Mus musculus: one gene and its partner. The protein of the gene in region 1 interacts with the protein of each later gene in a pairwise test. Links are inferred from orthologs where the notes say so. Each region holds a gene or a part of one and is shown on either strand. Other genes may lie near its edges.

What was found.
Region 2: the proteins of Ushbp1 (region 1) and Necab2 interact in binary tests that used the Homo sapiens proteins (3 or more experiments, as listed by UniProt). The two-hybrid records come from large-scale screens. The link is inferred for Mus musculus from reciprocal best matches to the Homo sapiens genes USHBP1 and NECAB2.

Annotation. Positions count from the first base shown.
Region 1 is NC_000074.6:71,392,991-71,397,292, forward strand, and holds the start of Ushbp1 (Usher syndrome type-1C protein-binding protein 1), read right to left. Parts: upstream 2,812-4,302; 5' UTR 2,724-2,811; intron 2,480-2,723; 5' UTR 2,404-2,479; coding exon 2,350-2,403; intron 2,182-2,349; coding exon 2,060-2,181; intron 1,821-2,059; coding exon 1,385-1,820; intron 1-1,384.
Region 2 is NC_000074.6:119,467,206-119,470,724, reverse strand, and holds part of Necab2 (N-terminal EF-hand calcium-binding protein 2), read right to left. Parts: intron 3,135-3,519; coding exon 3,081-3,134; intron 2,457-3,080; coding exon 2,344-2,456; intron 1-2,343. UniProt on the Homo sapiens protein: May act as a signaling scaffold protein that senses intracellular calcium.

The sequences.
Region 1 (4,302 bases):
GAATTCATTTTTGTTGTTGTGAGAAGTCTCTGAAAGCTGTGCTAAGCCACGCCCCTAGCCCCTCATTGGAGGATTCTAGGCTGTCACTCTACCCCCCCCAGTCACGCCCACAGCCCTGACTGGAGGATTCTGTATCCCTACTTGTCCTAGTTTTGTTTTGAGACATTTGCCTATCTCGTCAAAGCTAGTGTTAAACTGTGATCCTCTCATCTGAGCCTCTGAAGTCCTTATCATTACAGGCTTGTCCCACCATATCTGGGTTTAACATCACCCATAATCTGTAGGTTTCTGGTCACCTCCACTAAACGCCCCGGGCCACTTCACCCCTCCTCCACCTTCAGGATTATGGTCCACCGCCAGACTGTTCCGCTCACAGTCATCAGATGGCACAAGTGAACGCCTGCAGCAGGTCAGTTCCCCTCAGAATCCACCACACACCAGAGCACACTAGCTTTCAACACCCTGCATACTGTGGCCTTCCCCCACGCGCCTTCATCTCTCCCACTCTGTTCCAGCCACAGTGATCTCAGGATCTGTGGTGGTTCGTGTGAACTTGACATCAACTGGAATCATTTTGGAAGAGGGACCACAATTGAGAAAATGCTCCCCGAAATGGACCTGTGGACACTTTTCTGATTGACAATTGATGGGGAGGGAGGGGCCAGCCCATTGTGGGTGGTGCCATCCCTGGGCTGTTGGTCCTGGTTCTATAAGAAAGCAGGCTGAGCAAGCCATAGGGAGCAAGCCAGTAAGCAGCATCCCTCCATGCCTTGAGGTTCCTGCCCGAGCTTCCCTCAGTGATGGAGTGTGGCCTGAGAGTCTTAAGATGAAATAAATCTCTTCCTCCCCAGTTGCTTTTGGTTGAGGTGTTTTATTACAGCAATAGAAACCCTAAAATAAGTCTGGCATAGCTCACACCTTTAATCCCAGCACTGGGAAAGCAGAGGCAGGTGGATCTCTGTGATTTTGAGGCCACCCTAGTCTACCCTAGTAAGTTCAGGACAGCCAGGGCTCTGTTACACAGAGAAATTCTGTATCCGAAAAAACGAAAAATAAAAAACACCCCCCAAGACAGGATTAGTGTGTGTGTTTGTGTGTGTGTGTAGTGCAACTGACATAGGTAGGGTCTGTAATCCAGGCTAGCCTTGGACTCAGTCTACAGCTGAGAACAAAGTTGGTCTTAGCCAGGGCTCACCTGAGTGGAGACTGTCCCTCTTGGACTTCCTGAGTGTTAAGATCATGGGGTGCAGCCTGCCTGTCTTCCTTGCTCTCCCTCTCACTGTGCTGTCTCTGTTGGTCACTTCCTTGGCACATCTGTCACTGTTCCACATCAGTGTGTCTGCTCCCAAGGCTGGATCTGCCTCTTCCCCAGTCACCAGCTTACCTGTCTCTGCAGAGTCTCCTTCTCTGCCTGGGCGTCCTGCAGTGAAGCCTGAGTGCATGCCAGCTCATCCTCCCGGTTGCACAGGGCTAGCCGCAGCCAGGCGTTCCTCTCTATGAGGCGAGCAGCCTCCTGCTGTCCAGGTCCTGCGTCTTCTTTCTCATCACCAAAGGGCCCCGGAGCCCCCTGGTCTCTGTCTTCTGCTTCCACTGACTTTGGAAAGCTTAGCGAGTGGTGGCGCAAGGCAGCTACAACTGCCTCAAGGGAGCTCAGCCTGCACTGCAAGGTCTCATACACACTGGGTACTGATATCTCAGCAGGGCCACTATCCAGGGGGGCTTCTTGCAGGACCTGGTGGGCTTCCACCTCAGGCTCGCACTGTTCTTCTGGGCTCAAGGATAGAACCGCATGGGATCCCACATCACAACCCTCCTTGATCCTGTGAAGATAGTGGGGGAACCCCAGCCACCTGAGGCTCAGAAGAGACCTGGAGGGCTAACCCTAGGGTCGCTAGGAAGGTAGAGTAGGGAATGAGCGGCATGGCTGGAGGATAAACAGGAAGAGGAGAGAGGCAGGCAGCAGAGGCAATGGGCAGGTGAGTGGCAGGAGGCAGCTTTGTGCAGGGGGGGTGTTGGGGTGTTGGGCTAGAATATAGGGTACATACTAAATGCATCCTACCAGTTCCTTGGGCTCTGAAGGCCAGGACCAAGGTATTCCTGATGCAGCTCAGGTTTAGTCTCGAAGCGTCCATTGTTGGCATCTACTTCCTCTGAGCTCTCAGCTACAGGGTCTAGCTCCCCCTGTGAATGAACCCCGTTTCCCCCCAACACACACACACAGTCTCTTGGCCATCATATCCAGCTCCACCTGTGGAGGACTCCCCTACACCACCACGGGCTCTGAGCCTAGCAGGCCTGGGTTCCCAGGATCCATGGGACTGAGTGTGGCAGGAAGAGGGGCACACTTACAGGCAGAGGATGCCTCCCTCGACGGCTTCGGGGCCGTGTGGCCCGGGCACTCATTGCCTCTGTCACTACAGTCTGCTTTCAGTTCTTGCCTTCGTCACCTTAGAATCCTTGTTTTTTGTTTTTTTGTTTCCTGTAGGATTTTTGGGGTGTCTACTCCGATTGACACATTTAAATATTCATATACCTCTCCAATAGTGCCCACTAACTATCTACTTGTTCCTTACTCCCCCATCCCCCATCTCTACTGGGCATTCTTCTCCCCTCAGCTGTCTGAAGGCGTTTCTCTTATCTGTGCCCCACCCCCCATAGAAGCATTGGGTAGGGACCCTAAAATCCTCTTTCTTCCTACGGCTCTTAGCATCAAACTCCCTCACCCTGGGGGTTGACCCTGCTGCGCTCTTCTCTGCTTCTCCAGAGCACCTTGGGAAAGGCCTGAGATCCAGGGCATATCTCAAGCCATTCTGGCCACTGGCTACTGAGGCTGCGATAGCCAAAAGTGGCCCGGGAGGGGCTGGGAAACAGGAAGCCCCCCTACCCTGATCACATGGACAGTTATTGTTTCGTTTCCTTCTCCAGGATGCCGGCTTCCTCCAGAACGGGAGGAGGATGGAGGACCAGGACCTTTGTCCCGCTCTAAAGATATCAGTATCCCCTTACCCGAGGCCAAACCTTCCATTTTCATTTTGGATTTTTTGTGTCCCCTGTTCACCAGGACTCGCTCTAATGTGAAGGTCTTTGTGTGTGTGTGTGTGTGTGTGTGTGTGTGTGTGTGTGTGTGTGTGTGTTTCTAAAACCAAAAAAAAACCAAAACTGTAGGAGTTGGCTTCAGCATTTGCACAGCTTTTATTTTTCATTACTTTGCTTTACTCATCTTTGTCTGTGGTGGTCCTACTTGTCTCCGAGATCGAACTCAGGCCCCTCAGGATTGGTGGCAAGAGCCTGCACCTGCTCAGTAGCCCACAACGTTTCTCTTCAATGAGTCTGAACTGCTGCATCAGGCGGTTGGAGGCACTGGCAACAATAAGCTTGTCCACAGTGTGTCTGCTGCCTTCTTTACTTTTTCTTTACATTTTAGTTTTTATACAGCGTCTCATTTAGCCCAGCCTGGTCTAAACGCCCGATCTTCGTCTCCGGGTCTCTGGAGTGTTGGGATGACAGGTGTGCACCACCAGTCCTCATCAAGGTACTAGTGAATGAATGCCAACCTAAGTTACATAAGTAACTGAGAAGGCCTTTGGCAAGTCCAAGCCAAGTCCTACCCCGTCAATCATCAAACGGCCCCGCCCAGCTCAGGCTTCTGTCCTATTTCAGCAGAAGCCTTGAGAACCATAGCGTGATTAAACCGGAACTACAAATTACGCCCAATTTTGCTTCTATCCACCACAGATCACACCCACTCCCAGTATTACCCATCTTCAGCCCCATTCCAGCCACTCCAAGCCACACCCCCAGAACGCCTCAGCCTATCAGCTTCCATGTCCCGAGGGCCACTGAACTACATTTCCCAGAAGGTGTCTCGGCAGCGCCGCACAAACTTCCGGCCAGGAAGATGGCGGCTTCCTAGAGTCCTGATTGACTGGCCGCGGTGCCCAGGCTACAGAGTGGAACCTGCGGCACTGTGAACGCGCGTGAGCTTTGTGTCGCCGTGGTCTAACTTCGACCCGGATTGCTGTAGCTCCAGGTTCGTTCTTCTTGAGGACTTAGGGGTGGGGGATTCGAGGTCCCGAGATGCCACCCCTAAAACCGCGCATCCATCGCAGGGTCACTTGGGCTTCCTGTGTTTCCCTAGGGACCGGACCGGCGCCGCCTCAGGGGAAAAGTAGTTTTGGGAAACTTCAACTGTATCTTTTCGGCTCCACAAACCAAGTCTCCCAGGTGTGGGAGCCACTGGAGGCCTTAATGGGTCGAATACCCAGTGACCAGGCAACTGGGGTGTTCGTCCTGTGTAAACAG
Region 2 (3,519 bases), about 48 Mb from region 1:
GAGAGCAGGGTTTTTAAAGATGCGCTTAAAACACCTGGTTTTGAGGGGTGGGGAGATGCTCAGTAGAATGTGAGGATCCATGTGAACAAAACTGGAGATCCTGTCTCGAAAACAATGTTGGGGCCAGGAATATGGCTCAGCCGGTAAAGGAGCTTGAAGCATAGCCCGATAGCCTGAGTTTGATTCCCAGGACCTACATAACGGAGGAGAGAACCAACTCCTGGAGTTTCCTCTGCCCTTTGCGCTGGCTAGGTTGTATGCCAGCCTCACATAAGCCCGAGTCATCTGAAAGGAGGGAGCCTCAAATAAGAAAATGCTTCCAGAAGGCAGTATGCTTGCCTGCAGGGCGTTTTCTTAATCAGTGATTGATGGGGGAGGGCCCATCCCACGGTGGGTGTGTCATCCCCCAGCTGGTGGTCCTGAGTTCTATAAGAAGGCAGGCTGAGCAAGCCCTGGGGGAGCAAGCCAGTAAGCAGCACCCTTCATAGCCTTAACATCAGCGCCTGCCTCCACGTTCCTGCTCCGACTGCCTTTCATGATGAACAGGGATCTGAAGTGCAGGTGAGATAAACTCTTTCCTTCTCAAGTTGCTGTTGGTTATGGGATTTCATCCCAACAGCAGCAACCCTAACTAAGACACACCACACCCTAACTCCTGGTACACAAGCTGGACATTCAGCTCAGGACCCCACCCCAAAAAAAATTGACTTCTGACCTACACACACAGAGGGATGTATACATACAAAATACGTGGGTTTTTAAACCAAAGCACACAGCCTGTGCCTTAGTCTCTTTCCTGCCTTTTGCTCTTAAGACAACCCCAGGAAGCCCAGACCGGAACTGAAAAGATACTGTCCCAGAATCCCAGGCATGTCACTTGAGTGACCCAGGATGTCACTCCATCTCAGAGGGGCTGAAGCAGTGGTGTGACCACGTGGGTTCTGGTGGAGTCCCTGTCCCCACCAGCTCCTCCTGGCCCCTGGATGCCTTTCTTTCTCACATGAGACCGAAGTGCACCCGAGTACCACAAGGAGGGACTCTCTTTAGGGAGAAGGCTGTGAGGGAACCCTACTGCTGCCCCATCATTGGTTTGTTATGTACCAGCCTAGAATCACATGCAGAGCTCGGGGTTCATGAGTGGATGGGGGTGCCAGGCTGCCAGCCTCAGTCTATGCCAGCCCGTGTAGGTGCCTGCTCTGGTCTCTCTCTCTAGGCACAGCAAAGGCTACCATGGACAGTTGGGTTCATAAGAGTGTGGCTCCCACGGGACGATCACTGCCAGCCTGGTGACTGCCTTTGCCCAGCTGATGGTGGCACGGCAGGGCAGGTGTGGGTATGGAGGACACACTAGGAGGAAGCCTTGTGCACTGGTATATCTCAGGGTCCCATCCTTCAAGAAGGACTGGGAGGAGGGGCAACAGTACGAGGAAGGCCCAGGTGAGGAAACAGGGGTGCCTGGGGTACAGGGTGTAGTTCCCCTTCCCTCTCTTCCTTTAAGAACCATCATTGCAGGCTGGCGAGATGGCTCAGTGGTTAAGAGCACTGGCTGCTCTTCTAAAGGTCCTGAGTTCAACTCCCAGCAACCACAAGGTGGCTCACAATCATCTATAATGGGGTCTGATGCCCTCTTCTGGCATGCAAGTGTACATACAGATAGAGTGCTCATATACATTTAAAACAATCTTTATCATTGCCCCCATTGTCAGTCAAACCTCCTGGCCTGAGTGTGTGGCTTCTCCCTATAACCCCGCTATTTCTCGATCAATCTTCACACAGAAGACAGGACGGATCTGGCTCCCAATGACATCATTTCAATGCACAGCCTGTGGCAGCCCTCCTTAGGCTGTTCACCCATTCCTTTGTCCAGTCAAACCACTGTCACCCTTTCTTGATATTGACAGTGTACAGACCCCTCACTGGTGCCCACAGTCCCCTGCTCTGCCTTGCTGAGCTGCCCAGGGTAAAAGGACAGGAGTGGTAATGGCAAGCGACCTACGGTCTAGAAGACACCCCTCCTAGAAGCTGTAGAGAGCTTCTCTCCTTAGTCAAGCGGGTACTGACTTGAGTCAGGCTCTGTGTTATAGTGGGAACCAGAGTGGCCTCAGCCAGGACATCTGTTTACCCTTCCCAACAAACTGCTTGCTGAGGAAGCCCAGGCCTGGGGGTGAACTCACCCACCACCTCCTACAGCTGGCATGGAGCTGAGCCCCACTTTCTAGGCTTTCCTGCCATATTCATCCCCTAGGGAAGGGCTGGCTCTGCCACACATACCCCTGCCTGCCCCCTGCCAGCCAGAGACCTTGGCCTTCTCCCCCACCCCAATGCAGTAAGCGCTTTACTTACTGGAAGCAGTTCCTTTCTTCAGCCGTGCTCCGGAGGTACTGTCTCAGGGAATCCAAGAACTCACTCAGCTGCTCAGGGCACACGGCCATTTCCTGCCGGACCAGCTGCAGGTGCTGTGAGCCACAGTGGACATGAACATGCATGCCAGGGCCTTCCCCAGCCACGTGGGCATCATTTCAACCCTGGCAGCCTATGCCTCGCTTCGGAGGGGTCACAATAAAATAAACCCACTGCACTATTTTTTGTTTGTTTGTTTGTTTTTCAAGACAGGGTTTCTCTGTGTAGCCCTGGCTGTCCTGGAACTCACTTTGTAGACCAGGCTGGTCTTGAACTCAGAAATCCGCCTGCCTCTGCCTCCCGAGTGCTGGGATTAAAGGCGTGCGCCACCACGCCTGGCCCCATCGCATTTTTTAGTCTTAGTTGTGAAAATCAATCAGCTAAAGGTGACAGGTCCAAATGGGTCAAGTCCCTGTGGGGTCCCCACAAAGAGGGCAGTAAGTAAGAAGGCTGCAGGAAGCCCCACCAAGAGGCACAACCATGGACCAATGGGTTGCTTTTCTGGCAAATGCACCGTCTGATGACTGACAGACGTCAGTCTGCTTTTTTATCAGTCTCAGAGCCTCAGCTTACCATGCCTCTTGGGGAGGGGTGGCCAGAGAGGGTGGCCAGAGACATGGAGTCACCACCTCGGAGAGCTAGAGGAACAGGTCAGAGGAGAGGGGTAGAAAGGGTCTCACCATGTTGGTGCCTTCTTCATCCGAGAGGCGCTGTTGCAGGTCAAACGAGAGGGTCTAGAACAAGACAGTGATGTATAGATTGGAGGCCACCTCCAGAAAGGCTCCCAAGACTACAACTCAGGGTATAGGGTACCGAACACCTGGAGAGTTACAGTCCCTGCCCTCGTGTGCCAGGGGTTCTGAGATCTCCCAGGCTGGAAGCAGGGTTCCCAGGGCCAGGCCTAGTGGACAGGCTACTTAGTTCCCAGGTATAGAGAGGTCTCAGAGGGGACCCTAGAACCAGTGAGCCAAGGAAATGGCAGAGGGTTCCTTATGGTCCAGGCCTCTGAAGTACTGGGAGGTTCAGAGACCAAGATGGGTCTAAATAAACTTGGCGAATGTGGCTGGAGCCAGGAAATCTTAGTAACAGGCACCCTGGGGTCCCCCAAATCAGGACAGT